2 linked regions of the Oryzias latipes genome follow. The protein of the gene in region 1 interacts with the protein of each later gene in a pairwise test. Links are inferred from orthologs where the notes say so. Each region holds a gene or a part of one and is shown in the gene's direction. Other genes may lie near its edges.

Evidence for each region.
Region 2: the proteins of irf9 (region 1) and interferon regulatory factor 1 interact in a two-hybrid assay, tested with the Homo sapiens proteins (2 studies listed by BioGRID and IntAct). The link is inferred for Oryzias latipes from reciprocal best matches to the Homo sapiens genes IRF9 and IRF1.

The regions. Positions count from the first base shown.
Region 1 is NC_019878.2:23,622,894-23,630,354, reverse strand, and holds irf9 (interferon regulatory factor 9), read left to right. Parts: upstream 1-2,641; 5' UTR 2,642-2,754; intron 2,755-3,072; 5' UTR 3,073-3,115; coding exon 3,116-3,172; intron 3,173-4,035; coding exon 4,036-4,158; intron 4,159-4,223; coding exon 4,224-4,404; intron 4,405-4,693; coding exon 4,694-4,821; intron 4,822-4,948; coding exon 4,949-5,033; intron 5,034-5,103; coding exon 5,104-5,163; intron 5,164-5,237; coding exon 5,238-5,627; intron 5,628-5,713; coding exon 5,714-5,829; intron 5,830-6,048; coding exon 6,049-6,216; 3' UTR 6,217-7,248; downstream 7,249-7,461. Other genes in the region: E3 ubiquitin-protein ligase RNF31, read left to right, coding at 1-43, 275-388, 535-583, 651-747, 1,274-1,439, 1,517-1,564; emc9 (ER membrane protein complex subunit 9), read right to left, coding at 7,446-7,461.
Region 2 is NC_019872.2:4,967,187-4,974,706, forward strand, and holds interferon regulatory factor 1, read left to right. Parts: upstream 1-2,602; 5' UTR 2,603-2,761; intron 2,762-3,291; 5' UTR 3,292-3,297; coding exon 3,298-3,384; intron 3,385-3,536; coding exon 3,537-3,636; intron 3,637-3,719; coding exon 3,720-3,887; intron 3,888-4,021; coding exon 4,022-4,059; intron 4,060-4,231; coding exon 4,232-4,364; intron 4,365-4,464; coding exon 4,465-4,581; intron 4,582-4,688; coding exon 4,689-4,717; intron 4,718-4,911; coding exon 4,912-5,002; intron 5,003-5,113; coding exon 5,114-5,232; 3' UTR 5,233-5,808; downstream 5,809-7,520. UniProt on the Homo sapiens protein: Transcriptional regulator which displays a remarkable functional diversity in the regulation of cellular responses.

The DNA.
Region 1 (7,461 bases):
CAGGTACCAGTTCTGCAGCGGCTGCAACAACCCGTACCACAAGGTGAGCGGCAGGTGACTTCTGCACATGCTCAGATGAGAATGCAGAAAACGGAACAGGAAAGATCTCTGCCATGTTTGAAGCTCAAACATTCAGATGTAGCTGGGCCGGTGGGAGGGGCTTCCTGCAGACGGAAAGGATGTTCAAGTTCTTTGATTGTTTCCCATCTCTGAGGTATTTTCTTAAAAGGTATGAGATGTTTTGATCCTCACAGCATCTGCTGCTCTCCTGCAGACTGCGTGCAAAGCTCCTCAGTGCAGTTACCCCGGTCTGCACGCCCACCACCCTCGGGACTGCCTCTTCTACCTGCGGGACTGGGATGCGGCTCGGCTGCAGGCGCTGCTGCAGGTCAGCTTCTGTGTTTGCGAAGAGGAGAGGGCCGCTGACGCCGTCACGCTGACGCCGTCACGCTGACGCCGTCACGCTGACGCCGTCACGCTGACGCCGTCACGCTGACGCCGTCACGCTGACGTTTCTGTTTTTTTTGTGCTCAGAGGAACAGAGTCGGCTACAACACGGATCCGTCCAGCGGGGCTCAAACGGGTAAGTCTGTGTCCGCCCGCCGCTCCGCCGCCAAAGGCTGGAGGATTCTAAAGTGCTTCTGACGCAGACGCCTGCGGCGTGATGGAGCAGAAAGACGAGGGCGGGCAGCAGGTGGACTCTCCCTGCGGCGTCCAAACGCAGCCGGGTCAGGCGGGACTCTGCGAGTGAGTAAAACGTCTGCATTATGAGCTCTGCTTTAACGTATCGGAGGATTTCCTGATTCCAATCATGAGTCGGGGGCAGAGGAACAAGGTCGCATATGTGACGTAGAAACCACGAACTCTCAGCAATGGCGAGGGGAAGAGGGGGCGGGGTTACTAAGGGGGCCGACTCAGTGTCAGATTTGTCATGAACTCCTGCCGCTCTGCAGACACTATGAAAACAACAGCATTTATTTACATTTTGGCTAAAAACGGCTTCATCATGAATAAAAAAATGGTGGTGGGACTTGGCAGAAACGGCATTTTTGTTTTTATTTGAAATCACCGGTTAGCAGAAATGAAGCTTTTGATGAGAACACATTAATTCAGTTTAAATTACAAAGACTTTATATATTAGTGGGGATTTAAGCAGCTAAACAGTAAAGATCAAAAGGAGAAATTTCTCCTCAAAGGACGGGACATCAGCATCTCTGTGAGGCTTTTGAAGCTCCTCTGAAGCTGCGGGTTCTACTCCCTGTCTGCCCTGCAGCAAACACTACAGAGAGTACCTGGTGAGTCTGATCAACGCTCACTCCCTGGATCCTGCGCCGCTCTACCAAAGCCAGGAGCTGACCCGGGCCTGTGAGCGCTACCAGGTGGACACGCAGAGGGCAGAGGCGGAGGACGACAACGACTACCACGCCCGCCTGCTGAAGGTTAGTGGTGAGCTGCGGGACGGCCTAACCACGGCTGATACACCCCCCACTCATGCACGTCCTGCTGTGTCCCACAGAAACTGATGGAGGTTCCTCTGGGAGAGAAAGTTCCTCGAAAAACATGAAGAAACGCAGCGGAAGTGGCATCAGCTTGAGTTTTGTGTCTGTGATGGAGGATTGTCTCCCCTCACTGACGGCGTTTGCTCTTCTGTGGTCGTGTCTCGGCTTCATGCCACGAATCATTTTCATCTTTGAAGATCTGATCGTTCCGATTTGACTGTCTAACCCGCTCAATAAAAATCAGGTGGAACCATGATTGTAGTTTCTTTAAAATGTTGGATTGACCTGAATAAACCTGAAGTGAGATTATCCGTTGTGCGTCTGTGAGTTTTTGTGTTTCAGTCCAGGGGTTGAGGATCCCTGTTCTACACTTCCTTTTCATTCATTCCTCCACTTGTGCAAACCTGCCTGCAAGTCAACATCGTTTTTTTCTGGGCTGCATCTCTGCCTTATTTTCTCACCATGTGACAAAGAGTTAAAATTACCTACTGGCATTTATTACCCAGAATTCACTGTCAAACGGGAACATGCGTCATAACTCTTTTCTCCACACTGGTAAACAGGACATGACATCACACTTATTCAAGTTTGCTCTGTTGTGTGATTACCGTGTACCCTTAAATGGTTTATTATTATTTTAAAATATATTTTAAGGAAGTATAGAAGTTTTGAGTGTAATGTTTGGGTAATTACCCTGTGGGGAAGTTTTGGCTGGTTACACTGAGGGTAACAGAAGCGCAAAGGTTCAGAAAGGAAGCACTCATTTTTATTAATGTAGAATCCTAATGTCAGTTGATTTTTGTTCATCTTTTTTAGCTGTCATTTTTTTAGATTTGGCATTTTTGTGTCATTTTCTCCTGCACAGGGTTTGATTTTGACTGGATGTTGAACCATCCAGTCAGAAGATGTAGTTGGTTTGAATGACTGCTGATGAGATACCCCTGTTGGTATTGAAAATGTATTTTTCTAAAGGACAGATGAAGCAAATTAATTGAATAATGCTTTAATGTGGAGTCGACCCTTTTTTTATGTCTTTTTGTTTGCTTTTCTATCCCGAGTGTTTGTTTCTGTGTTTTGTTCTCCTGAACACAATAAACGGTGTACTTTGTCGCCCTCTAGCGGTCAGCGGTGGGTCGTTTCGGTAAAGTCACGTGGTTTCGGGGAAAAGGCTGTGTCCGGGGGCTGGACGGGGACTGACGGATTCGAACTTGAGAGCAACAGAAAGCGACGGCTTCACAGAGGAAACACCGCAGAGGTAACGAAACCTAATTCCGTTACTGTGGATTTGGGGAGCGGTGGGGGTGGGGTGTTAGGGCTCACTGTTATAAAAATAGATTAACTGAAAAGTTTCGGTCCGAAACATGCGAGATTATACGAGCTCGGCTTATCATCTTCTTCTGAAAAACATGGACCGCGCGCGCTCGCGCACACTTCTCGTTTTGCTGTTGTTCTGTCACTTGTTTATAAGTTTTTTTTTTTTTTTAGTTTGAGGTGTCATGATGAAAAAAAAAGATCTAGTTCAACTCAATGAATCAATAAATAAATAACCGCGTTTTCTTGTTTATGCCTACAGGTTACTTCCGCCTGTTAGGTAAAAAAACCCGTTTTATTAGGCCATGGTGGCGGTGAGGATGCGCTCCACGCGCAAGCTGCGCTCGTGGATCATCGAGCAGGTGAGTCTCCTCCAGGTGGGGTGGGGGTGGGGGGATAAAATGCCCTGTCCTAAAGTAAACACGGTATATGTTGATGCATTAAAACCTTCAGACAAAGGTCAGGGTAAACTTAACACGTCAACCTGGATTCTAATGTCAATCAATCTTGTGGATTACTGATGGTGTAAATATTGCAGCATATATAATCTCTGTGTGTTGCAGAGATACACCTTATTCATTCATATGAGCCACGGACACGTAGATTCTTTAAATGTTGCTCACAGTTTGATGTCATGTGTTCCAAAGTTTGGTTTTCACCACACCGACTGTATAGACGACGGACGCATGGAGGCGTGACGTCACCCACAGGGCATGCCTGACCTCCAGCTCTGGCGAAATGAGGCCAAATCCCTCGCCACTGCTTCCTGATACGGGCGCCGCCATGTTGAAACCAGTCGACAGGGATTGGTCCAGGTCGCTCTGAGTCCTCGTATCTATGGCGATGCCGACAGTAGTTGCCATAGATACCATAACCCAGAGTGACCTGCACCAATCACTGTCGACTGGTTTCAACATGGCGGCGCCCGGTACTGGAATGGTACTTCCTCCCCCCCCCCCCCCCCCCCCCTATGTTCCTTGGGAACATAAAGGGGGGGGGGGGGGGGTTGAGCCGTCCGTTCGTTTTTACGTCAATGGTTTGGGAAAGTTGTTGACCATCATCTTAAGAACATTGACTTTTTAACTTTGGGGGGTTCAGCAGATCGCTGCCTCTGGTGGTCTGCTGTGGAACTGCAACGGTCACTTCTGTGTTTGGATCACATTTAGGAGGAAAACTACAAAAAGATTCAAACCAGCGACCCTCTGATGTCTTCTGGGATCCACAGGTCAGCAGCGGGAAGTACCCGGGCGTCATGTGGGACGACGACGCCAAAACCATGTTCCGGATCCCCTGGAAACACGCCGGAAAGCAGGACTTTCGTAAAGACGAAGACGCCGCCATCTTTAAGGTGAGGATGTGGATCAGGACCGGAGCGATGGCGGCTGCTAAAGACTGACGGCTCCGTGTCTGCAGGCGTGGGCGGAGTTTAAGGGAAAGCTGACGGACGGCGGTGAGGACAACCCGGCTGGCTGGAAGACGCGCCTCCGCTGCGCTCTTAACAAGAGTCCGGAGTTCCAGGAGGTTCCGGAGCGAGCCCAGCTGGACATCTCGGAGCCCTACAAGGTCTACCGGCTCGTCCCCATCAGCGAGCAGGGTGGGGCCACTTTGCTTACCCCCCCCCAATTTGAACCATGAGGCTCTCTTTTTTTTTAGAGTCTCTATTACTTTTTCCTGGTTTCTTATCTAACCCCTTATCTTTCCTGCAGAAGTTTAAAAATTTGACATGAAATAGTTAATGAATCATTTAGTAATAGACGTCTACAGATTCAAAGAAATATCTAAGTTAGTCCGTGCATGCTGGTGCTCTCTGAGCGCGCTCTGTGGCGGTGTCCCGCCCCCACCCGCATGGCTAACGCGGCAGGTTTTTGTACTTCCCGCTCCAGGTTTGGTGATGCCCGAGAAGAAAAGCAAGGAAAAGGGCAGCAGGAAGCTGAAGAGGCGCGGCAGCGAGGCCCAGAGCGAACCCAGTCTGGTCAAACAGATGAAAACCGACGAGGCTCCGCCCCCACAGGCGAGTTAGGCGGGACGGTGCCGAAGCCTCCCGCTGAACATCCTTCAGGAAGTTGGGTTGGTTGGTTTGGTTGCTATCGGAAACGGCGGGGAGGTCATGAAGGCTTTCTTCCTCCTCATTCCAACAGCTGGAGGTGGAGCTTCTGCTGCAGAGCGCCATCCCGTCACCGATGGAGGAGCCCCCGCAGAGCAGCACCGTCCTGCAAACCGACGGTGAGTCTTTTCCCCCACTGAAGGATTCTGCTTGATGTTCCTCGCCGTAACGGGTTTGGCGTTTCTGCAGCTCTAGGGGAGATCCAGCTGGACGTGCGCATCGAGGAGAGCGTCTCCCCCCCTGCTCCAGGTAACGGGAGGCGGGATGACGTTCGTGAAGCCCCGCCCTCCCCGGACGGTGACGGGGATGTTTGCTGTCTGCAGGTCAGGACTCCATCGTGGTGGCGGTTCAGTATCTGGGGCAGGAGGTGGCCCGGCGGCAGATCCACGGCTCCGACGTCAGGATCCTGTACCAGCCGTCGTCCGCCCTGCCGCCGACGCCGGCCGCCCTGAACAAGAGCTTCCCGCGGATCCTGCTGCCGGAGCCACCCCCCACGCTGCCCGCCGGCCAGCAGCGCCAAGCCATTTTCACCCTGCTGCCCTTCATGGAGAGGGGGGTGGTGCTGACCTCCCAACCGCAGGGCGTTTACGGAAAGAGGTTCTGCCAGGGGCGGGTCTTTTGGACCGGGCCGCATGGCTGTGAAGCGGGTCTGCAGCGCATGGAGCGGAACACGGAGCCGGTGCTGCTCTTCAGTAAAGACATCTTCAGGCAGCGTGAGTCCCACTGTCCAATGGGGGGGAGGGGGGTTGGTGCTCATGTTTCTGTCTGCCTAACCCCCCCCTCCCTCCCGTCTGAGCAGAACTGGATCATTTCCGGACCAGCGGGGGCGAGCCCCCCCAGTGCAGCTTCACTCTGTGCTTTGGGGAGGAGCTGTCTCACACAGAGGACCCCAGCACCAAACTGATCACCGCCACGGTGAGGAGGTCCACTCAGACCCCCCCCCACACACACACACACACAGACAGAACCAGAACCATGCTGTTATTTCTGACCCATTTCACATTCTGTAGTATTTTTTAGATGAAGGGGTTGTCAGAACTGGCCTGCTTTTAGGCTCAGGTGTTGCTCCTGCTCCTCCTCCTCCTCCTCCTCCTCCTCCTCAGCATCCTCTCCATGTCTACACCTCCTCTGCAGGTTTCCATTCCCTGGGCGGAGGAGCAGGTCCAGAACGCCCTCTCCATCTTTCAGTCCATCTCCGTGCTCCAGACTCTGGCTAGTCAGTCTCCGCTGGGGGAGATCACCCTGAACCTGGTGTCGGTGCCGGCAGCAGCTCAGGAGCCACCAACATCTCCCTCCGTCTGACCGGGAGCGCCGCCGAGGGAGGGGGGGGACGAGCAACCAGAAGGTTTTGCTCTAAGGAGTTTTTGCACAAACATCTCCAGCACTTCTATTTCACCTTTACGCCAAGTTTGAACCTTCAACCCCAAAAATCAAGTGAACTGAAGGTTTTCAGATCAGGAAACACTAAGACTGAAGGAACGTTGTATACATGAACGTTCCTCAGAAGATGGAGGAAAAAAACAAGTTCAAACTTTTATTTTGGGATCTGGAGTGTGACTTCCTGCTTCCACATTCTCCTCAGAAGCTTAGAGCTTCACATTCCTGATGATCAGATGTTCTGGTCGGTAAATCCGTCCAATCGTCTTCTCTGTGAGATGAAGATGCTCACCGGACTTTCCTGAGTTTCATCCACGTGTTCCACTGCAAATGTTCGGGATTAAAGTCACGAACGTTCCCGTTTGAAATGTAAAGGCAGCAGAACTCATCCGTGGAGGAGGTGGATCCACGGAGGATCGAAGGTTTCCAAAGTGAAAAAGACGGATTGCAGCTTCATCACATCGTCTTCGTTTTCCAGCTGGAGCTGCAAACTCACCTGTCTGTGGAAGGGACACCTCCTGTTTGAAGGACAAGCTCTGTGCACGTGTGTGTGTGCACACGTTAACATGCACGTCTGTTTGTACGTCTATGTACAACTGCACGTGTGTGTACATATGCTTGAGTGAGTGCACGTTTACGTGTATTTGTTTGCACATATGTGTGCACGTTCATTTGTCTGTGAGTGTGTGCGCTTAACGTGTGCATGTCTATGTGCGTGTATATGTCTGGGTGTGTGCACATGTGTACTTGAATGTGTATCTGTGTGTGCGCAAATCTATGCGCAAGTGCACGTTTGTGTGTTTGCATATATGTGTGCACGTGTAGTTGTTTGTGTACGTCTGTGTGTTTGCACATTTTTGTGCGTGTATTTCTGTATGTGTGCGACCCTCTGTGTGTTTGTGCACATGCGCGTGTATTTGTCTTTGTGCGTGTGAAAAACCACAAGACAAGAGCTGCAGGGTTAAAAGTGACTTTAAGTTAGTTTGGTCGGGTGGGGGCGGGACTGGACCACAAGCAAACTCAGGAGAGGGGGGGGGTGGAAGACTGGGATGTACCAACAGGTCAGTCTGTGGCCCCCACACCTTTGAAAGAAAGATGTCCCTGCTTGGGAGGGGGTGGGTTGAACACAGAAATAATGGAGGCCCCCTCCGGGGCTAAATGTTCCCGTTG
Region 2 (7,520 bases), on another chromosome or scaffold:
AAACAAAACAAAAACAGTAAAATAGTTTTACTCCACCATCATTTTGACTTTTATTTGATTAGATTTATGATGCAAAATCCGTACTCGTGTTACTGTGACTGTTACTCTCTAGTTAAGATTATTTTTTATTTATAACATTGCCACTTTTTATTGTAGTCATTCATATCACTATATTAGCCTATAGGTGTTAGTAAGTAAAAGTTACAAAAATGATCATCATCAGCTAAGATTTTTGCCAAAAAGTCTTGTTGATTGATTGAATGCCTTTTATTTTCAAACACAAAATTCGGTAAAAAAGTTAAATAAACATGATAAACAGTGGAGTGAAGAAAAATAGTGTTAATTCCCTCCCCAAATCATACTATATTTTATGCATTTTACAAATAAACATACAATAATTAGTCACATAAACACACAAAAAAAGAAAAAAAAAAGAAAACATCAAGGTATCAAAATGTCCCAAAGATGACTGTACAGTCTTTGTCCCATCTGGCTCATCATTTTCCAATTTGTATGTTTCCAAAATTTTCAGCTTGTATTTTTTTTAAATTATTTAATATTCTTAGTCATATTAAAACCTTCCTCCGTGTTTTTCACACCCGCAGCACACAGACAGAAATGTATGGATACTTTTTTGTGTTATCCTTACACAAGGTTGTTTAATGGTGAGTGGTAAATGAGGTGTACTTGTAAAGCGCTTTCTACCTTCCTCGAAGGCCCAAAGCGCTTTACAGTCACAGACCTATTCACACATTCACACACTGATGGCGGCTCCGCTGCCAAACACTGGCACCAACCTTCCACCAGAGGCAAGGTGGGGTTCAGTGTCTTGCCCACTACGACACATGGGTGGGCAGGGCGGGAAACGAAGCTGCAGTCTTTGGATCAGAGGTCAACCGCCCCACCGCTGCATCATGGGTAAGAGTATTTTTTATGGAAGGCTTGAAAAAGTTTGACTTTGATTTTAGAAAGCTGACTGATGATGAAAGGGGGATCAATTTGACATTGGAGTCATAATTAACTTTAAAAAATGAAATATTTGGCTATAAATTGTTTATAAAGGGTTTAAATATTAAACTTTGGTATTGCTAGAATAAGAATGTATTGTTCAGAAGTTGAAAAATATGAAAATATTGAAAATTTTTGCAAAAAAACAGCAACTGTGGACTATTTAAACTCTTTCTTCTTATGTCAGCAATTTCCAGAATATATACATAAATATCATATTTAAATTGTTATTGAGTGCATGATCAATATGATCAATAGGACTTCTTTTTTACTTTTGCAAGAAAGTTCTCAGGTGGGATCCTATAATTCGTGTTTTTTTTTAAATTTCATTAGTGTTGTTTCAGTTTCATAAAATAACAAAAAGTCGGGATATCGGGAAGATCTTCCCCTAGAAATCCATGTGCATCCTTTAATTGGGAAACCCCACGCACGGATTGCCGACCAAAATTCCACAGGAAAATTCCCTGCTTTTCCCTGGGTGGCACGCGCGCTCTCAAGCAATGCACTTGACGCGAGGGCGTGGGCACGCGCCTCAGTGCGTGGGAAGCCCCTAGAATGGACAGCAGTCTGAATGCGGCAGCCGTGGAGTTTCCCCCACTCTCCCAAGGTGCAAATAAAAGTATTTAGTGAAAACAAACACTCTAAAGGAATTAAGGGCCTGCGCCATGTGGATGCTGACAGGTCTACGCATTACACTCTGACTTCACGACTTGGTTTACAGGGGAAAATATCTCACGAGGAAACGCTTTATGCTTACTTCAAGTGTTTGTGGAATGCGCCGCAGCTTCCGGGTATCATTTTTCCCGCGGTCTCAAACGTCTCACCACAAAGCACGTGTCAGAAGTAAAGCCAATGCGACGCTGCCCCCAGCGGCGAACATTATTACTACACCATTTCTTGTAAATGCCCGACTTCTCTGAGGCGCTGCTGTTTATATTAAAGGGCTCGTCTCGTGTAGATCTGTATCTTGCCAGGTTGAAGAACTCATGATGCATCATCAGCGTGGCTGTGCGGGCGGAGAACCTCACAACCAAATATCGGGGCTTCTTTTAATTTAAATGCACTTTTTTCTAAAAAATACAAAAATGAAGCACGTTTATAACATGCATTATATCTTCTCTTTCTGTCCAATTAAAATAAATAAACAAATAAATAAATATATTTACTTATTTTTTTCTTTTCTTTTTCCTTCCAATGTGTAATAATGGTCATGAAACATCAATATAATAGAACAAGCAAGGATTGACACTGTAAGTGATACTGTCTCTTTAAGTGAAATAAAACACCTCGGGTATAATAATTTATGTGCGCAAGTTTCTGCAGAAATGTATACAAAGTGTGCACGCCAGCCGGACGCATGTAAACTGCGGATGGGTCCGGTTATTCAGACCACCCTACAGAAAATAAAAACATATATAGGCTACGTGCAGCGAGCGAGCTGCTGAAGCCAAGCCTTTTCATTAACTTCCCTCTTGGCACCGGCAGTGCAATTTCTCGGAAACAGATCGGTAATCGGCAGTAGCGCATGCGCACTGCGCTTAACTTTGGGGAAACCCAACAAACTCAACTGGGATATAAAAGGAGGACTGTGAGGGGTTGAGTGATCACTCTTGATCAAGAAAGACTTGCGAGAGGATAACTTAAGGATAACTTAAGGACAAGAAAAGGTTCTGGGAAAGAAAATCCCTCAACTACTTTGGACATTTCCCTCATTTTTTTTCCTGCAGCAAGAAGCAAGAAAGAAAACTAAACTGTAAGTAAACAATACATTCATGAAAGTGCACTTTCTTAGTTTGTTTGATATATCTGAATAAATGCGCATGGCATATGACAGGAGCGTGCTTGAGTATTCATTTAAAACGACTTTTCTCAGGCTTTTCGGTGCGCTCTGAGGAATGGACATGATTTGCGCATCTTCACAGTGAACACCACAGGATCTGCGGCGCACTTAGTTATTTTTACGCGCATTCTCTTTCAAAACCCCAATTCAACATGCAAAAGCTCATTTACAATTACGTCTTCGTTAAAAGCCACAGATTTTTTAATCTTGTGCCGTTATTTCATTTTTTTCTAACTTCACATCGACTCCCACGCGTAAACGCCCCCCTTTTCGCGCCCTGCGCTTCCTGGTGAACTCCTCAACCTCTTGCGCGGCGGCAATAAATCTCGAGCCAAGGCGGATGTGACCGTTAATGTGCAGTTAACAACGTGGATCTGACACAAACAGCAGTATTTCTCTGGCTGACAAAACGCTCTTCCCCTCTTGCTCCCTGCACATTTTAGGCAAGCATGCCTGTGGCGAGGATGAGGATGAGGCAGTGGCTGGAGAAGATGATCGAGTCCGAGAGCATCGACGGGCTGCGCTGGGTGGAGAAGGTGAGGACTGGAATCTGCTGCAAAGACAAGTCATGCAATAAATAAACAATTGTAATTCAAAGAGTACAGTAAATCTGCTGTTGCTTCGTGGAATATTTTAGATCTTAATTTGGACATAAATCTAAGCCCACCATTTATTTCTGTTATCACAGGATAAGAAAATCTTCTCGATTCCCTGGAAACATGCAGCCAGACACGGCTGGGAGATGGATAAAGATGCATCCCTGTTCAAAGAATGGGCTATCCACACTGGTAAGGAGGCTAAAAACTTTACATTATCTTCTTAATTATCTTAAAAAGACGTTTTTAACCAAAGTTTTTGATGTTTTCTGCAGGAAAATATGTCCAGGGTCAGGCGACTGATCCCAAGACTTGGAAAGCAAACTTTCGGTGCGCAATGAACTCCCTGCCTGACATCGAGGAGGTGAAAGACAAGAGCATCAACAAAGGCCACCAAGCTATGCGGGTCTTCAGAATGCTCCCCATTTCTCCCAAATGCAAAGGTGAGCAACTGACACCAAATCTTTGATTGCTTTATTGTGGTTATTAATGTTGTGCAGCATCTGTGTGAGATGAGCTGGCACTAAAGAGTTTTGATTCCAATCATCCTAAAGATTTGTTTCTTCTCTTTTCACAGCCAAAAGGAGCAAAAGTGAGGCAAAGCACAAAAACAAGGTAAATAGTTTTACTGTTGTTTTCGTGGCTGCAGAGGCACTTTATTTGCATGTAGTCAGATGCCCATCCAAATGGTGCCATTGACCCACATAGTGATATGTAAATAGGTACCCAGGCAGGAAACGTGAGCAAGACATGTAAGATGTAAATTTATTCAACCTTATCTCCATAGAAAACATCTGTCAAGATGGAGGAAGACAGCGACTACAGCGACACACAGTCTCCTGTCAGCACATCGACGCAGGAGTCCAAGTTCTGCACGCAGGAGAACACAATCGACAGCACCGCAGAGATCGAGCAAACAGGTGAGGAAGAACATACTGATGAGCTGATGGGCGTTTTGAAGCTCCAACCTTTCCACGTGCTAACTTGTGATACCTTTTTATTTACTTCTTTTTCCTGCAGAATTCCCTTATGTTGGGCTGTCTGAAGTACCAGATTGGTCTTTGTCAGTTGAGATTGGGTCAGACCCGTTTTCAGCGTTTTCCCACAGATTCGAGGTTTCCCCCGAACACAGCCCCAGTAAGTTAGCATCTTCAAACGTTCACGATTGTTTATCGGATCAAATCCACAGACCAGTGTACTCATTTTGTGCTTCTCTTCCTCTTCCTTTGGCTGTGATCTTCCAGACTACGACTGCTCCCAAGATATTATTGAGGTAAGCATGACTTCTGACTCCTCCTCCCTGCCTGCATGCTCTTTTCATTGACAGGAAAACCCATTTTTGTCTTTTACTTTTCCTGTTTTTATTTTTTACATTTTTTTAAATAAAACACCCAAAAGAATAAGTTGACTTACTTGATGTGATAAATCAAAAACATGGATGTACTCAATTGGATGTTGCTCTTACAGCTTTGCAAGCAACTCGAGAAAGAGAACAATGGGTTCCTGAGCAATGAAGCATGCACCAGTCCAGGAAGCCTGTGGAGTGAATCTTCCTCAGGTAAATGTCCCTAGCTGATGAATGAACGGTGCAATTTAAGATTACCTTTGATCTACAAGCAGATATCCCATCCTCACATTCACTAACTGCATTTTAATTTCCATTTCCCAGTCGATGAACTAGAAGACACGTCGTTCTACACGCCCCAGTACACGACTTTGGGACCAGAGTTTTCCTGTCAGACGGACAACTTGTGGAAAAATTATTATCAGTACCCTGCCTGCCTCTGAGGTCTCCAGGAGAGGAGTGGACAGGACGCTTCTTAGACACAATGGACTTTTAAGAGCTTTTTCTGATCCACCTCACTTTCCCATTTGAGCGCAAGCCCCCCCCACCCCCCCAGGCTTCCCTCAGGTGTCCACACAGTAAGCTAAATCACCGCCCAGCCTAGCCCATGGACTTCTATTTGTTTGGTAGCAGTTAAAGAGAGTGTGATCATCTCTCCGGCCCCCCTAATGTGAAGAATGAAGACATTGTTGACTGGATCAGAGCAGAGTTGCTGTTCCCTTGTAGCGTAGGTACATAACTCAACCCACTGGTAGTTAGAAATATACACCCTCTGCTAATGGAAATAGACTAACTCTCAGTGCATGTGGTATGCTTCTTAATTGTCACAATCTCTTTTTATCCGTTATGTGCACTTAAACTTGTCTATCTAAAATGGGCAGAAATGCATTCTTACAATACAAAAACAGCTTTCCGTGGTGCTTAGGTGTGAGCTCAAGGCAAATGTAAAATATTAATGTACATAGTTGTTTGGTTTTTGTGTTTTTTTACAAGAAAAATAAAAATATCTTGAAAAAAAATATGAACACTCTTTATTTACAAGCAAAACAAAACGGTGAAAAAAAGAGTTTGCTCAAATCCATCTCGTCCTTAAATGACTTGACGTTTGATTGACTGTAGCTGGCATGACTTTAAGAATGTGGATGATTTTCTAAAGTAGTAATTATTAAGTAGATCCTTAGATCATATTAAATTACAGAAAAGAATTAAAAAGCCAGAGGAAGGAGAAGCATGCACAGTTGCTCTTTTTTTTTTGGGATTCCCCTGGAGTCCCAGAAGTCGCTAAGGGGAATATCAGTTAATCTGTCACATTTACTGTTGAGACTTATCATTGAGAAGGAAGACGAATCAAAAGCCAGGGCGGGCAGATTTGATGAATTATTCCTGTTTTAGTAGATCCTTCAAAATAAACCTGAGCTTTGGCAAAAACCTTTTCAGATGACCCAATGGCTGGCATCTATTTGATTTTTTTTTTTATCCATGCAGCCTTCCAGTCATTTTAAGAGCCTTTATTTTGAAAAGCATCAACAATTTTCTCCCCATTCACGAATGTTTATCCAAACCCTCACAACACTTAAAGTATGTCGCTCAAAGACGCTGTTTTAGAACCTGAATTAGTTGTTGGATAAATACACTTTGCCGGTGTGTCCTGTGGTTTTATAACCTTGGAGTGCAGGGAAAACAAACCATTTCCAGTAAAGCTGATAAAAGCCAGAGGTTATGGCTGCAGTCAAGACACAGTTCACTCAGAAGGCATAAACTTATGCAACTTTATTAAGTTGGCAAACCTTAATAAGGGACAATCACCTTTCATCTGTGAAGTTTACCCACACAATAATGATCTGGGCAGAGTCTGCTTCATCAGGTCACCACCTGCCACGTTTATTGAAATAAAAAGTGTTTGACACCATTTGAAAGTAAGGTGAGAATTATCTTAAAAACCTACTATATTAGGAGCCTGCAAGGCATTTTAATGTTTCCTGGAAGGTTAAAATGTTTGTTTCTGCAGAGATGGTAAAAGTGACTAATTCCAGTCTTCCAGATTCCACTCTTTCCAGCGCTAAGAAAACATTTGCAGAGACAGATTTGAAAATTTAAAGCTTTTATTGCATCTTTTATGACAAATAACACTGTTCACATCAACAGATTTCTACACTTTTTCCCTTGAAAGCATTCGCTTGACAGTATAATCTATATTCATTTCCTTTTTTAAATTACTGCATTTTTTCCGTTTACAGTCGTTACGCATCAACAAAAAGATGTAAACAAATCCCAGAAAAAAAAGGTTGGGTAGGACAATTCTGATATCAAAACAAGTTAAATATTTAAATAAATAATGTGCTAGTACTATTATTTCTGTAAAAATAAATCTTGATTTGAAATGTTGGCCGTGAATAGCCCAATATAAAATAGAAGGACCAACAGAATTCATTTTCTTATTTTAAAATTTGTCAATCAACACAAGACAAAACGCATAAGAAAGGACATTTATAGCAGGAATAAATGTTACATTTTTAGGGGCTAATTTTAAGATTTCTTGATGGTTTTAAAGGACAGAAATCCTAAAATGCCAAAAACTCAAATAAAAACCCAGGTTTCATATTTATTGATAATCTAGTAATGACACTGTGACACTAAGGACAGGAGCCGTTGTGGAAGGCTTTGCAGATGTCAATCTGTTTAGGCACTGCACATGGATCTGATTAAAGTGTCCAAATATATCTGTCATAAA